Drosophila melanogaster: one gene and its partner. The protein of the gene in region 2 interacts with the protein of the main gene of each other region in a pairwise test. Each region holds a gene or a part of one and is shown on either strand. Other genes may lie near its edges.

The links.
Region 1: the proteins of Rlip (region 2) and CG32086 interact in a two-hybrid assay, tested with the Drosophila melanogaster proteins (one large-scale study listed by BioGRID).

What each region holds. Positions count from the first base shown.
Region 1 is NT_037436.4:11,579,700-11,587,002, reverse strand, and holds CG32086 (uncharacterized protein), read left to right. Parts: upstream 1-2,938; 5' UTR 2,939-2,969; coding exon 2,970-3,493; intron 3,494-3,558; coding exon 3,559-3,735; intron 3,736-3,786; coding exon 3,787-4,561; 3' UTR 4,562-4,602; downstream 4,603-7,303. Other genes in the region: rt (rotated abdomen), read left to right, coding at 1-266, 498-1,060, 1,152-1,931, 1,991-2,712; CG33269 (uncharacterized protein), read left to right, coding at 4,887-5,153; CG43391 (uncharacterized protein), read left to right, coding at 6,017-6,139; CG43390 (uncharacterized protein), read left to right, coding at 7,104-7,226.
Region 2 is NT_033777.3:21,012,888-21,021,253, forward strand, and holds Rlip (Ral interacting protein), read left to right. Parts: upstream 1-4,796; 5' UTR 4,797-4,890; coding exon 4,891-4,987; intron 4,988-5,054; coding exon 5,055-5,187; intron 5,188-5,242; coding exon 5,243-6,127; intron 6,128-6,557; coding exon 6,558-7,320; 3' UTR 7,321-7,866; downstream 7,867-8,366. Other genes in the region: Calx (Na/Ca-exchange protein), read left to right, coding at 4-208; CG5697 (uncharacterized protein), read left to right, coding at 3,398-3,540, 3,614-3,872. UniProt on the Drosophila melanogaster protein: Participates in receptor endocytosis during interphase, is also involved in mitotic processes when endocytosis is switched off.

The sequences.
Region 1 (7,303 bases), on a different chromosome or scaffold from region 2:
CCAAAACAAGCCTCCCCCTCGCCTACCTCCGATCGTTCGCGCTCCCTCTCACGCTCGCCTTCGCCGTCTCGGTCTCGCTCGCTCTCCTGCCAAAAACAAATCGACAAGAACAGCGCTGGCGCAGCATCCGCAGAAGAGAGAAAAACCGCTAATGCGAGTTCGCAGCCATTTACCGTTAACCTGAGAATCGATCTCTTCAGTTGGACACTCTTTCTCTTGGCCTTCGGCACGCGTTTTTACAAGCTGGCAACGCCGCCGCACATCGTGTGAGTAGAAAAACAATAACAAACCTGCAAATGGGGTCACCGCTGAATGAAAAAAATACACACATAACAATGTCTTAGATTTTTTGTTTATTAATTTAATCTGCGAGAGCAGAGTCTTACATTTAAGTTCATTGCATTACATTTAAGTCTTGCATTTATAGCTCAAATGATTTATGCCTATGTCTTTATAATATTTTCAAGATTCATAGTAAAATACTTCCTACCCAACAGATTCGATGAACTCCACTACGGCAAGTACATTTCCATGTACATGCGAAACATTTTCTTCTTCGATCAACATCCACCGCTGGGCAAACAGCTGATCGCCGGACTGGTCAGCCTGGCTGGTTACGATGGCAATTACACCTTTACCCGCATTGGAGAGCCCTATTCCCCGGAAATGCCCATCTTCTGGTTCCGATTTCTACCAGCCATGTGCGGCAGTCTACTGGCCCCCGCCGTTTACAATCTTTTGCTGGAGGCGAAGCTCAGTCGCTGGTCATCCGCTTTGGGTGGCCTGCTTGTGGTCCTGGACAACTCATTGCTGACGCAATCCCGTTTTGTTCTGATGGAATCAATGCTTCTGCTGGCCACCACGGTGGGCATCGCCTGTTTGCTACGCTTCCAACGAAGTCGCCTGGGCAGCCTGGAATGGTTCTTTACTGGAACGGCAGCTGCCGTCTGTTTGGGAGCCGCCGGAACCGTCAAGTACGTCGGATTCTTGGCACTGGGGCTAGCCTTTTATTTGCTGTGTCGACACCTGTGGCAACTGCTCTACGACGCCGGTCTCACCGGTAAGATACCTTTTTTTCTGAGATTTACAAATACGATTTACGATATAATAATAGAGATTGAATAAATCAAAATAAAACCATTTTTTTCAAGATCGCCAGCTATGGATGCATGCCATAAGTCGCCTGTTAATCTTTGTTGGAATTCCATTGGCGGTCTACTTGGGAGTCTTCTATATCCACTTCAAGACGCTGCACCGGGCTGGACCGCATGATAGCATCATGACTAGCGCGTTTCAGGCCTCGTTAGATGGAGGATTGGCATCGATCACAAAAGGACAGCCATTGGCAGTGGTTCATGGATCCCAAATCACACTACGACACACCCACGGACGCACCTGTTGGCTGCACTCGCATGCAGCTGTCTATCCGGTGCGGTATCCGGACAAGAGAGGCTCCTCCCACCAGCAGCAGGTCACCTGCTACTCCTTCAAGGATGTGAACAACTGGTGGCTGGTTAAGCGACCAACAAAGGAGAACCTGGTGGTGGGTGATGAGCCGGATATCATTCGGCACGGTGAAATTATTCAGTTGGTCCATGGAATTACGAGCCGAGCTCTGAACTCACACGATGTGGCTGCGGCAATGACGCCGCAGTGCCAAGAAGTCAGCTGCTACATAGATTACGAGATCAAAATGGCCGGTGAACTGTTGTGGCGCGTGGAGATTCTGAATCGCGATTCCGAAGGTGACATTTGGCATGCCATCAAGTCGGAGGTCCGCCTCGTTCACGTGTCCACAGAAGCCTCCTTGAAGTTCAGTGGGCGCCAACTTCCCGAATGGGGTTTCAATCAGCACGAGGTGGTGGCGGATCGTGAAAAGGCAATACATGAGGATGCCATTTGGAATGTTGAGGAGCACCGCTATACACAGAGTAAGTCCTCTTCGAGATACTTGAAGAAATACGTTATCCTCATTTACAACCCTTTATAGCTGAGGATCATCGGGAGCGAGAGCGCCAGATGCTAACTGCCGAGATGATACCCACAAAGCGGACGCGCATCTCGTTCTGGGCCAAGCTACTGGAGCTACAATCCAAGATGCTGTTCCAAACGAAGTCAGTGCCAAATCACATGTACAGCTCGATGCCGCACGAGTGGCCGCTAATGGACAAGGGCATCGCTTATTGGTTGGACTCACAGTCGAGTGCGCAGATCTATTTGCTGGGAAACATACTACTCTGGTACACAGCCACCATGGGAATACTTGTCTATGCCGGATTACTCGCCTTCTACGCGATGCGGCGGCAACGTCTTTGCTTTGATATTTCGGAGCAAGAGTGGCAGCGATTCGTATTAGCTGGTGACACCTTTTTTATGGGCTACGTGATGCACTATATTCCGTATTTTTGTGTGGATCGTACACTCTTCCTGCACAATTACTTGCCAGCCTTTGTGTTTAAGTTACTTTTATTGTGCTTTGTCGTGGAGCATTTGGACTATCTGCTCAGGCGCTTCTGCACCGGACGTGGTGTCCATCTGGTGCGCCTTTATCGCCTCATGCTAATCCTGTGGCTGGTGGGCGTGCTTAGCATTTTCTCAAAGTTTATACCATTCAGTTATGGTGCGAGAAAAATGACTTTAAATGAGGTTCGCAGTCTTCGATGGAAGGATACCTGGGACTTTGTCCTGCACAAGAACCACCACCTGTACTGAAAAAACAGATGCCATCTCCGCGGCCAGAGAGAGACGTGCAATGATGTACTAGTACCATGTACAATAGACTAGACGACTAGCTAAAGTTGAACTAATACTAAGCCATAAATTATTTGACATGTAAACATACTCATTTACAAGACCAATAAATACAATTATTTATTTATTTAAGATGTTCTGCTTTATCACTCAGTAATATGTATAAGCACTCTGAAAACACTTGAACCCACACTATATACATAAATACACTCATAAACATGGCCAATAAGGGACACTTTATAGACAGAAATGCAAATATACCGACTGCAGGATTGTCCACCAGTGGATTAGATGGAGCGGAAGGTGTAAAAGTTTGTCTTAGTATTAGCAATCCAGAAGAATTGGCTGAGAGTCTAGTTAGGCGCAATTACGGGCAGATCAATAAAAAATCCCAGAAGTTCCCAGCCGGTTCCGTTCAACCCAGCAGCAGCATCCGGGATTTGCTCACCAGCGAGTTGCAAAAGTCGCGCTTTATGTCCTTCAAGGAGAAGTTCTACGAGGAAATGTACTTCAAAAAGGCCACTTTGGGTGGGGTCAAGAAAACGTACTCCAAACCGGAAGACGTGACCAATATAAGCCAAACCTTCGGAAGTCCATCGAGTCAATCACAAAATGAATGTCTCTACGACGTCATATTGCCGGCCAAGTCGGCGGAGCAAGTTAATAAGGAGTACGAGGCTTTCCACGACAAGTACATCATCAGCCACAATCACTACTTTCCTTCGGAGCAGGTTAACCGCAGGTCAAGCTATTGGTCACTACAAATGCAATGGTGCATATTTAATGAACGTCTTAAATATTTTTTAGATATGCCCAACCATTTGATCGAAAATCACCTTGTGGAGATATACATACTCACGGCGATTTTGGACTGAAAGTGAAGCGATGTCTGGAGGAAGGTGAGAACCACCTGAAGGTTATTGGCAAGGCGCAAGTGGACTTTATGGATCGAAACGAGGCACCCCTCGGAATGCGAAACAAAAAGTAAGTATAGATAGATATAGATTTTGATTAATAGTTTTAGACTGTCTGTAGGTACACTTTTGCGGTGCCCGACATAACTTTCGGTGTTCCTCTGCGCAGCAATGGCGATGTGAAGATGCTGCTAAATAATATTGAACCCTGCTACAAAACCAACCGGCTACTAGATGCCATACGCTATTTGAACAAAAAACGTCATAGTTTGAGGAACCAGCTGGAATTTCACAAGTACGCACTAAATTCAGTGCTGGAGAGGAGTGACACGGATGGAACGGGTCACTTGCCACTGGCACGCATCTTGGAAATTTTCAGAAGTTTTCACATCCGTCTGGATGCGCAAAAAATCCGTCTGGCCTTGTCCAATTTTCGGCTGATTGTGGACGAGGGCTGTGCCACGGAGCGGGTGAATTATGTAGATTTCTTTCGACTTCTCTCGATTCAGAATTCTCTGCCGAAAACGGGAAACTTGACCAATGTATCCGATGTTAGTTGTCTGGACACCACATATCGTTTGCTCTGCGCCGATCTTCAAAACAAGTCAAAGGATAATACGGGAGCAATTAGCCAGAATCTCGAAGGGAATAAAACAACTGCCAAGGATCTTATAACACCGGATTTGGCCATTTTACGTGGCCTTACTCACAGTGATTTCACCTGTTTGCGGCCCAAAGCGGAAATCGAACGTATCTTTAGAAGTCTCGTAACAACTGATAAATTCGAAGCTATTTGGCAGAGTCTAATGACTAAGTTCAAGGACCAAAATGAAATGGCATCCGTCACGCAGTTTCGTACTGAAATGCACAACAAAATAGAGGCCATATCTACATAATACTTAGACAATTTACCATGACAAACAAATATATAATAAACAAAAATAAACTATAGCATAAGTTTGGGCTGTCATTTGTGTGAAGCAAATATTTGCTACAGCATTAAACTTTCAAAGCTGGTGTCTTACGACCAAATATTTAAATTTCTGTGATCAGTTAGGAAATCAAATTAATACTAGTTTTCTAAATCCGGAAATTACTGGAGAACTATAAATGGGGTGACTTCAACATCAGTTGATCACAACAGCCCTTCGCCGCTTTTAAGCCAAGTCTAATATCAATTGCTTTGCCAGCTAACCAACATAACCAACAATAACATCAAAGATGAAATACCTGTTCGTGGTTGCCCTTATTGCCCTGGCCATCCAGGTGGCTTCATCTTCTAGTAATACAACAACAACTGATGCCACCACCACAACAACAACCACCACTGCAGCATCGACCACAACAACAACAACGGCCGCTTCCACTCACAAAAAGCTTTGTTGGAGGGGCAACAACTGGTGCCACACCCGCATTCCCAAGCGGAAGTGCAAGAACCCAAAGAGGTGCCACAAGACCATCGTGATTGTGACCCACAGGAAAAATTAAGCTGCACTAGTAGTTTTTGAAATAAAGAAATTCTTTTTAAAAGAATTTTGCCTAATATTTTCATTTTATCTATAAAATTATTTTAAGTAGTATTTGTACCCTTAACTCATAACGCATAGTAAATGGGTATGCAATGTGTGTTTAAAAGTAGGTAACACTTAAAAAGTTTTCGATCCTATTGTATTGTACACATATGCCTTATCAGAATATATAGCCGATTTAGTCTATCGGTCGCCAATTTTCTAAAGAAATAGTTTCATCGCCTTTAAATTGCAAAAAATTGCCTTTACATATATTTTCGGAATAAAAACATTCTACTTCATTTTCCACTAGACACTTGTGCAAGCTAAACTCTGAGTAATAGGTATCTGATAGTCGAGGAATTGGACTTCAGCTGTTTCTCTTATTTTATTATGAATTTAAAGAATAATAAATAAAAAGAATAATAAATAATCGTTTTAAATAGAAGCAACATCACAGAAGTTTCTATTTTTCCAGGCAATACTCAATTCTTAAAAGTCCATTAAATTATTTATTATCTAAACTGAATTTGAAACATTTTAATGCATCTGAATTACCACTTCTACTCACTTCATTTTTAGGTTACTTTAATGTGTAAAACAGCTGTTTTACTATAATTGGAACTTTAATAGATAAATAAATATTATACCAACTTAAGAGACTTCCTATCTTAATAAGGAAATCATTTTAAACTGACTACTAACCATATGTGCTTACAAGGTGCAAACAAGAAGAAAACTATTAAAAAATTAAAGTATAAAAGATTATGATTCCACATTGGTTAATCACAAAAGTTTCTACCTTCATTTGAGAAGCACCATAAAATTCCAGGATCATTTAAGATGAAGTTCCTCTACGTGTTCCTCGTTATCGCCTTGGCCATTCAATTGGCAGCTTCAGCTACGAATTCAACACATGCCCACAAGACTAAAGTTATTGTGACCCGAAGGAAAACAGCAAATTGAGCTGGACATGTTTACACCATCAAAATAAACATTTCAAAAAAATACATTCCTCCTTGTTTTAAAATTTTGGTCTAATTTTGGTTGGCTAATGTGAAATGGTATTTCACGATTTTGGAGCAGATGAATTTTATTTTAGTTCCTTCTATTTGGTTCATCATAATAAAAAAAAACATTTTCTAAAACGGCTGCTGTCAATATAAACTATATTCAATGTTTTTAACATATGACCAACGGTGCGAACACCTTAAGTTTAAAAGAAGTTCGTTTGACTTTAATACTTACATGTTATAACAACTATAAAGTAGGAAATAATATACGATTTTTATGAGACAGCTATTGGATTTTATACATAAAGAATATTTTGTATAGCACTCTACGTACTGTAGAAACTTATTTCGCTTAAGATAATACCTATTGTATTTCAAGAATAAATGTGAAATTAAGGGCTATGTTAAGATATTATATTATAAAAAAATAGTATTAAACTTTATTAAAATATTGAAAATCTAATATTAATATTAGCATGCTGATATATAGAAAATATAAATATTTAATAATATTAAAATATATCATATTCTCTAATTTTTATATTCTAATAATGATATTAGGACATAACTATTTACATATGTACATCAGAAATGTTATTTACTGTAGTTTAAGTTTTAACTTCAGGTTTAATGGGTTAAAATTGTGGCAATTTGAACAGCTGTGTTATTATCCAGTAAACCAGTTGCTCATGTTTGATGTAGTATTATTGACAAGTAATAGTACTGCTTATGTTAACAAGAAAATCAATTTCCCTAATTATGATTTCCATATGTGTGTTTATTAGCATCAAATGAGGAAGTCAACTGTACAAAAATTCTCCTATAAAAGATTTTGATTTCGAATCGTTTGATCACAACAGTTTCTCGCCCCAAATTTGAGCTTCAGAAGTTGCCAAAAAATTTAAGGATCAGTAAACATGAAGTTCCTCTACGTGTTCCTCGTTATCGCCTTGGCCATCCAATTGGCGGCTTCAGCTACCAATTCAACACATGCCCACAAGACTAAAGTTATTGTCACCCGCAGGAAAACCGCAAATTGATCTGGACATTTCTATACTATCAAAATAAACATATAAAAAAGAATATTTCTTTTATTATTTACCTAAATTGAGGCTCC
Region 2 (8,366 bases):
TAGCATTGGATTCGCCGTGGCGCTCTTCTGCGGCGAGGCCCTGATTGCCATAATGCTCATCATGTTCCGGCGCTGGCACAAGGGCATTGGCGCCGAGCTGGGCGGTCCGAAAGTATCGAAGTACATCAGCGCAGCGATCCTGGTATTCCTGTGGGTGTTCTACGTGGTTATATGCATACTGGAAGCCTACGACGTCATCCGGGTTTAAGGAGTTCGCAGCCGCGTTGGTTTGGCTTTGGCTTGATTATTCGCAATGGCGTTGGACTTTTCCGTCAAATTGAAGAGGATCGTTACGGCGGAAAACAGAGCTAACCGATACTTAGAAGCTATTGAAAGATGCTGTAGATGCAGTTTTTATATGTAAACTTATGAAATTGATTTATATATATATGTGCTCGGCGCGATATATAAATATTTCTTGTGTAAAATTTATGTTAATACTAAAAGTAAAATTTAAAAGTTTAACTAGGTTTAAGCCAGGCTTATATACAAACCATTTTTACGATTATTGTCTCTATTCATATATGAATTGTAAATACAGAAAGGCTGCCACGGCTCAGCAATCTTGTAACCGTAACGAGATCATTTACTGTTATGCCATATATACTTAATTTACTTTCTAAAGAATACTATTATATTTATTATATCATTCTGTGTATAACTTAAGTCATTGTTGTTGTTTGTTAAAGCTGTACTTAATCGACCCCATAAAATCAAAACGGGAAAATCGGAATCGATTTAGAGTTTAAATCGTGTTCCGTACTCCAAACTCGATATTGTCTCTCCATTTGCCGAAAACCATTGTTAATTTAATACATGTGTAAGTTTTAGGAAAGATCTAAAGGTTTTAGCCAAGAAGAAACGCAGTCCCTCTAGCCATCTACTACAAATACTACAATTATAACTACTACTACTGATTAGGGGCCTCCTTGACAACTAGTTCTAGTCACCTCACACTATCGACACAAGTCCAACTAGCAACACTTTCATTAACTCTGACCAAAGCAAAAGGCGGCACTACTTACTAGCGATTAGCTGTTAGCGATTAGCCAGAAAGACCATCAGTGTGTCCACACTGCACTATGAAGAACTACACGTACTACCAGTGAGCACTAATCAATTTACTTAAAAAAAGACTTTCTATTCGCTTACGTCGCTGGTATCGAAGTAGACAAAACTGGATATTAAGGCAAACACCAAAACAATAGCGAAATAATAAGGAGAATTACTAGAATTGATTGTAAACCAAATGTAACGAGCAGGTACATATTTTTTGTATAATGTACTATTTTTCATATAACAAAATTGTAGCAAATTAATGGTGAGAAGAGAAGCCTAATGATATTTATAGCCACATGCATAAATTTGTATTATATATTTGGGGTCACACAACTGTACGGGGAACTCGTTGAGAAAACTGCGCCAAATTTAGACGTAATTGATTATTAATTACTGCATATACGAACTATTAAACAATTTAATAAATATACAAACATGAATAAATAATAATGTACTAAGTTATACTGTCAACGTTTACTGCTAGATATTATAATTAAATTTCTTTTTAAATTTATTTCTATAATTGCCTTTTTATTTCCCTTACTAAAACGAACTTCAGACAATATCTGAATACTCCTACGTTTTTCATAGATCGCGATATATAAATGCAGTTAACAGACGGTTACAAAAAATCGACCAGGGTCAGGGTAAGAAATCCGTGGCAAGGAAATCAATATATTGCGAATAAAGCGAATAGTATATGAAATCGAGGGGCAAGTGCTGAGGAGCAGTGAATGTAACAATACGACACAGAGGATAACCAGATATATAAGCAGACATGCAAATAAATTACCCATAGACGATTATCTTTAATGGCAAAGGCAAATAAAACGATTTAAGTGCTTCCGACATAGGGTTTAGGTACTTCTAGAGAACTAGGAGTAGAAAGCGTATCTGAATGAAGAGAAAGAGCATGTTACTTTAGCAAATTATAGGTTCCACTTTACTATGATTGCGTTCTTTAACATTATGTATTGATTTAAACTATTTTAAAATCAGTTGCACAACTAAATGATAGGGTTCGAATTTACATATATGTCTAATTTTGTATGATTAACATTGCGTTGTTTATATAATTCCCTATTCATTTGACGAGTTTCAAAATCAATAACATATGTGTACCATAGTAGATACCATAGATAGTATTCGAATCTATGTATATCTATATGTTTTGAGGGCAGGCCAAGCAGTTAATATGTATGTGTATTGTACAATATTAATCATTTGCTGTTTGTTATCATGTTTTTTCGAATTCAAATTATACCTGCATTTTTAAATGTATACTTATGAATGTGATTTTACCCAAAAACAAAAGCAACTACAAAAATATACTCGTATTTACTAAACCGATAAAGTATGCAAATAGTCGAATAGATCGAATACCACATACATATGTAGTTTTATATAGCATATGCTTGGGGTGACGATCCACCGATCTCACTAACCGTATCTCTTCTCACTTTAACACGCTATAAGAAAATACCAAATCGAAAGCTACATATTTGAATATATATACTCGTACTCACTATAAGAAAATACCCGTTGTCGTAACGAAAGCTAGGATCTTCTGAGAATCGAAGGAGTATATGGCTTATCGTATTACCTTATCGAATCGAATAGAGCCTAGACCCTAGAGTTACTGGCATACGAATATATGTATTCCGTGCATGTTTACCAACCGAATCCCAATAAACTAACACATTAAACCGATCGATCTGGCTGTGAACTTTTCACTTCCCTGAAATCTTGGGCTTATCCTTATCGCTATGGGAAACTGGGGGAGGCGACTTCTCTGCTGCGGTTATGTAATGCCCCAAAAAAGCGCCAGATAAGACCAACCGCCGGTTGCGGAAGATGAGCGGATCGCCACGGCCCATGGAGATAAAGTTGTTTACAGGAATCCGGACCGAGCACAAAGACAAACAGCAATGGCAATAAAGCAATGGGACAGAGAGACAACCCAGCTGCAAGCTAATTAAAGTTGCGACAGAACGAAGCCAGTCGCCAGTAGTCCGCCAGTTGCGAATGGAGCAATTTCCAGCCGGGAGTGTTTGCAATCCTGGTACTATCCCGTGAGAAGGGCTGAAAAAGGACTGTAAAATACCCAGTTCCCATCTATAGTTATCTGTCGTGCCTGCAAGGGGCTACGGCAACTTTGGTGGTATTGACAAAAAAAAAACGAAAGATACATGTCACAGTTATCATATATAAATTATCAGTCATTTGAATAAATCATTATTCATTATTATTATTATTTTCACTTCTTGTTACAGATAAAGTTACATAAACTGCGTATACCCTCTTGTTCGGCACACATCCAGGGTACCACACGGCAAATATGTCCTGCAACGAGAAGACAGCGCTTCTGGCAACGCAACAAGGACATCAGCAGCGGCAGCAGCGGCAGCAGCAGCACATCATTGTCGTGCCCGCGACGGGGAAGGATCCAAAGGATTATGAGCCCATTTTCACAACTGCTGAGTAAACGCTTTCCGTCGTATTTCATTAAAAAATAACTTCGTTACACAGTGCCGCCTGCCCGCTTCTTTCGTAGCTATTCCTACGGACTGACGCTCGAGGAGCTCCTGCCCTTCGCTCTGGATCCCTGGTGGCAGGCCGTACGGCGCCTCAGCTGCGGGCTCCTGGGCCTGACTTTCCTGCTGACCCTGATTGCTGGACTGGTTATGGCCTATTCCGACAGTGTCTGTCTCCCAAATAGAGCAATTAGCAGAAACGCGACCACCACGACAACGATGGCCACGCCACTATCCTTGGCTCTCAACGGCTCCCAGCTGCTGATGGCCAGTTTATAGTGGCCGTAAGCTAATCTGTGTAGCATTTTGGAGATGCCGCAATCCACCCTGCGGAATTGCATCAGCCGCATCAGCTCGCACTATTAGCATTTGTTTGGCTTGCCGGTAATGGAGGCGACCTAATCCTCCTCCTCTCTACTGTTTACCCCTACTCAAGCTGAGTGATAAGCGATGCACCGCGGGATTGATTGGTCGTGAAATAATTATACTGATTAACTTATTTGCTACACAACCGCCTACTCGTAAAGTAAAAAGAATGCAAAAGGTATAAGGAAGCGTTTCCGTACCAATTAAGAACATTGTATCGCAAACTTATTAATTTTTATATATATACATATATATATATGAATATTACTTAAACTAATAAACGAATAGTTTTTTTTCATCGCTGTATTCTGGTTTCGGTTTCTGGGAGTTTAGAAGTTAACAAACCGCCTTATAGTTTTACAGCCCCACCCTGAAAAAATGGTTTGATTTAGTTTTATTTTATAAATAGTCTTGGCAATTTGTATACTTGTGAAAAAACATTTTCACCACGCCCACACTAGCGCGCACAATTAACAAAATCCTGTAGTTACAGAGGTGGTACTCTTGTCATTTTGGAAGTTTTATGTATTATGTAGTTTATGTATATATATAAAAAATATTTTCTTAGAATTTAAATTATTTAAAATATTATTATTATTATATTATATATTAACACATATTTATTTATTTATTTATTATATATATATATATATATATATATTAATATTATAAAAATTTAAGAGTTAGTAGCTGATCGCATTTCTGATAGTTGAGGAACTCGACTGTAGCGTTTTCTCTTGTTTCAATTTGCCTTTTTTTAAATATCTACACCGTTACTACATATTTTTTACATGACACAGTAGCGCCATCTGTGCACTTATCAGTGTTGGATAGCAGCGGCGACTTCGATTAAGCAATCGATTATTTGTTGCATATGTTGTTTACGGCAATTGTTTATATTTATTTACTGCTGGTGAAGTGATTATTCGTGATGGATTTTGACAGTCCCGAGGAGAAGGAGTTTCCCGGGCTGTACGCCTCCGAGGCGGCGGACGCTAAGTCGAGGAAGAGCAAGGAGGAGAGCGACTGTGAGTGGAGCGCAAAGATGTGGGCGTAAGCTGGGAAAAAATCAATGGGCTCACCTTGCCTTTACAGTTAGTGAGGATCACGACCATAGCAAGAAGGACTTGTTGATTGGCCGGCGCAAGGACAAGAAGGAAAAGGGCAAGGATCGAGGATACGCCGCTCTGGAGGGCGAGAGCTCGCCGGAGGAGGAGCTGGACACCAAGTGGGTGCAGGTCAGCTGACCCAGAGACAAGTAATATTTTTTCTTTTACTTCCAGAAGTCCATCCAAGTCGAAAAAGTCAAAGACCTTTAAGTTCACCAGCTCCAAGAGCAAGGAGAAGCGGGAAAAGTCGCGGGACAAGTCTGAAAAAGACTCGAAGCACGCAGAGGAGGAGCCTTCCGTCTCCCACAAGGTCAAGGAGAAAGAGCGGGATAAGGAGAAGGACCGTGATGAGCCCAAGAAGAAGGACAAGGAGGAGAAGCGCAAGGAAAAGGACAAGAAGGCTGACAAGAAGGACAAAAAGGATAAGAAGAGCAAGCAGCTGTCGCAGCAGCAGGACGACGTCTCCGCCGCGGAGGAAGTGCTGGCACTTGGGTATCCCGTCTTTGGGGTGTCCGTTAGCTTGGCGACCGAACGATCCCGCTGCCACGACGGCGTGGACATTCCCCTGGTTGTGCGCGACTGCATCGACTTCCTGCAGGATCACCTGAAGTGTGAGCAGATCTACAAGATTGAGCCCATCAAGACGCGTCTGATGCACTTCAAGCGGTTGTACAACAACCGGGAGCACGACTCCGCCGTTGATGAGCTCAACCTGCCTACCGCCTGCAGTCTGCTGAAGCTCTTCCTGCGCGAACTGCCGGAGCCACTGCTGACCACCGATCTGGTGGCCCGCTTTGAGGAGGTAGCCTCTCATCCGAAGGTAACCACGCAGCAGGCAGAGCTGCAGCAGCTGCTTGAACAATTGCCCAAGTGCAATCGCACCCTCTTGGCGTGGGTGCTGCTCCACTTCGACGCGGTGATCCAGCAGGAAAGACACAATAAGCTCAACGCTCAGTCGCTGGCTATGCTGCTCAGTCCGACGCTCCAGATGTCTCACCGACTAATGGTGGCCCTACTCTGCCACTGCAACAACTTGTTCGCGGACGTCCAGCTGATAAAGTGAGCAAACACCGGCTAGCCGGATAACAGTGGTGGGAAATATCCAAGTACCTTTGTGTTGGTAAAAGAGAAGTCCACATTTAACAACTATAGTTAAATCACAAGAACGAATCGAAGTCATAGCTCTGAAGTTAACTACTAAACTGTTAGTTTTAGTAAACTGTTAGTTTCCATATTTATCTAATGATATAAATTGTTTTTTTATATGTATAATAGGTACTTATAAGAACCCAGATAATTCCCACCACTGTTGGCAGTTGATAAGATTGCTGCTATAAAAATCGCCAGATTTAGTCGTTTATTTTGCAACCGACGATGAGCACATTACCCCGTAAACAGAAGCGCTTTCCACGTTTCGCCAGTTTTCTAATCAGGCAGAATGGCACACATTTAAACAAAGTTATCATAATACTAAATTGTCATCTCTTAGGTATGTGCCCCCTTTAACATCGACCAGCCCAAAGCTTCCGGATACGCCGGAGGACATCCAGACGGAGTTGCGCAAGCAGGACAGCCTCCTGTCCCAGATCCACAGCGAGATGAACGCCGGGTTCATTACCAAGAAACGCGAGGAACAGCTGTGGGAAGTGCAGCGCATCATTACCCAGCTGAAGCGGAAACTACGAACTTTTGAGAAGAAACAGGAAAAGACTGCGGAGGAAGTAGACAACAGCAGCAGTGCTCCGCCCGCTGTAGCCAGTGAAGATACCACTGACTCCAAACCAGCTGGAACTCCAGCCGTATCTACGAACAACAGTATTTCCCAGGAAGAGCCAAAAACCGATACACTAACTCCGAAAGATGCTCCTAACGATTTTACTATTGATCCCAGCACTGGCTTTATTTTGCTCCCCAAATCAAATCCGCACCGCGAAAATTTGCTGCGGCTCCAAATTGAATATGACGAGCTAATGGAATGGCAGAACGAACTAAAAGCACGTATCGTCGCCGAGCGCAACGAAGTCTATAGGCTCAAGCAGCTGTACGAGCAGCAGTCAATAAACAGTCAAATGGCCTCCTTGGCCTCGGGATCTCAGGCTCCCCCAGAATCCGACTATGAGCGGATAATCGAGCACTATACACGGGAGAATGCGCTGCTGGAGCACAAGAAGAATATGCTGGGCATGGAACTAAAGGAGGAACGACGGGCCTGTATTGCTCTACAAGTTGAGCTGCGGCTCCAGCAGTTTTAATGTATTAATTCGATTAATGTATTACTTGGATGGGTCAATTTGAGGGATATAACTAAGTTCCTATTCCGGAAACTTAATGGTCACATTTCCAAAGAAACATAAAAGGTCTACTAGGCAATCATAGGAGGTTTCTTAGATTCGTAGAAGACAATTCTATGTCACATATCTAAAATATTCAAATGAATAAACTTGTAAAGTTTTTGATAATTCATTTATCTGCAAACGTAGTCACTGTTCTAAACAGTGTCCTTTGTGAATTGCAATATATGAGAATTTTCAGTTCAGCTTTTAAGGAGATAAAATACTGCTAAAACATAAAACGGATTCCTCATGCCTAAAGTCAGTTTATTGTTTATTTGGAAATGAGCTAGTTTCAGACTTGACCCACCGAAATATATGTATGTATATAGGGTTACCAATTTTAAATCTCAATGTCTACTTGCGATCAAATGCTTTGTTCAAACTATAATTACTGTTAAACGGCGCAAAGCCCCAAAGAAATCTTGTTAGACAACTTTACTGCTTTCAACAATTAAATGAGAAAACAAACTCAAAATTCCCTTTTCTGTACTGAACTATTGCATCGAAATATGTCTCCTCGAAGAATTTTGTAAATGCCGGTAAAGTAGCTGCGTTTGTGTGTGCCGACAATCAAGATCCGATTTTCTAAATCGGTCTGATGACTTAATTCCAATCCGAGAAATACAGGGCACAGATTAGAAGATGTTTAGACGACGGATTGGCTGTTCGCTGGGGTGAAACGGAAATGACATCATCTCATATTACGTCTTGTCAACATTGTGATGGTCAAGGAACCGAGGTGGGCTTTGCGTGTTACGATTACTTTATTTAATATTTATTATTAATAATTTTAGAATACATTATCATTATGCATTACGTTCGGGGCGTGTTTTCTGTATTCCGCTGAAGTACAACTTAAAAATATCACACACAAATACCACGGGGGAAAGATGAGTCCTCCGGAATGCCAAACCGCGTCAACTCGCTCCCCTCCATGATTAAGTTATTTCCGCTGGACTACAGAT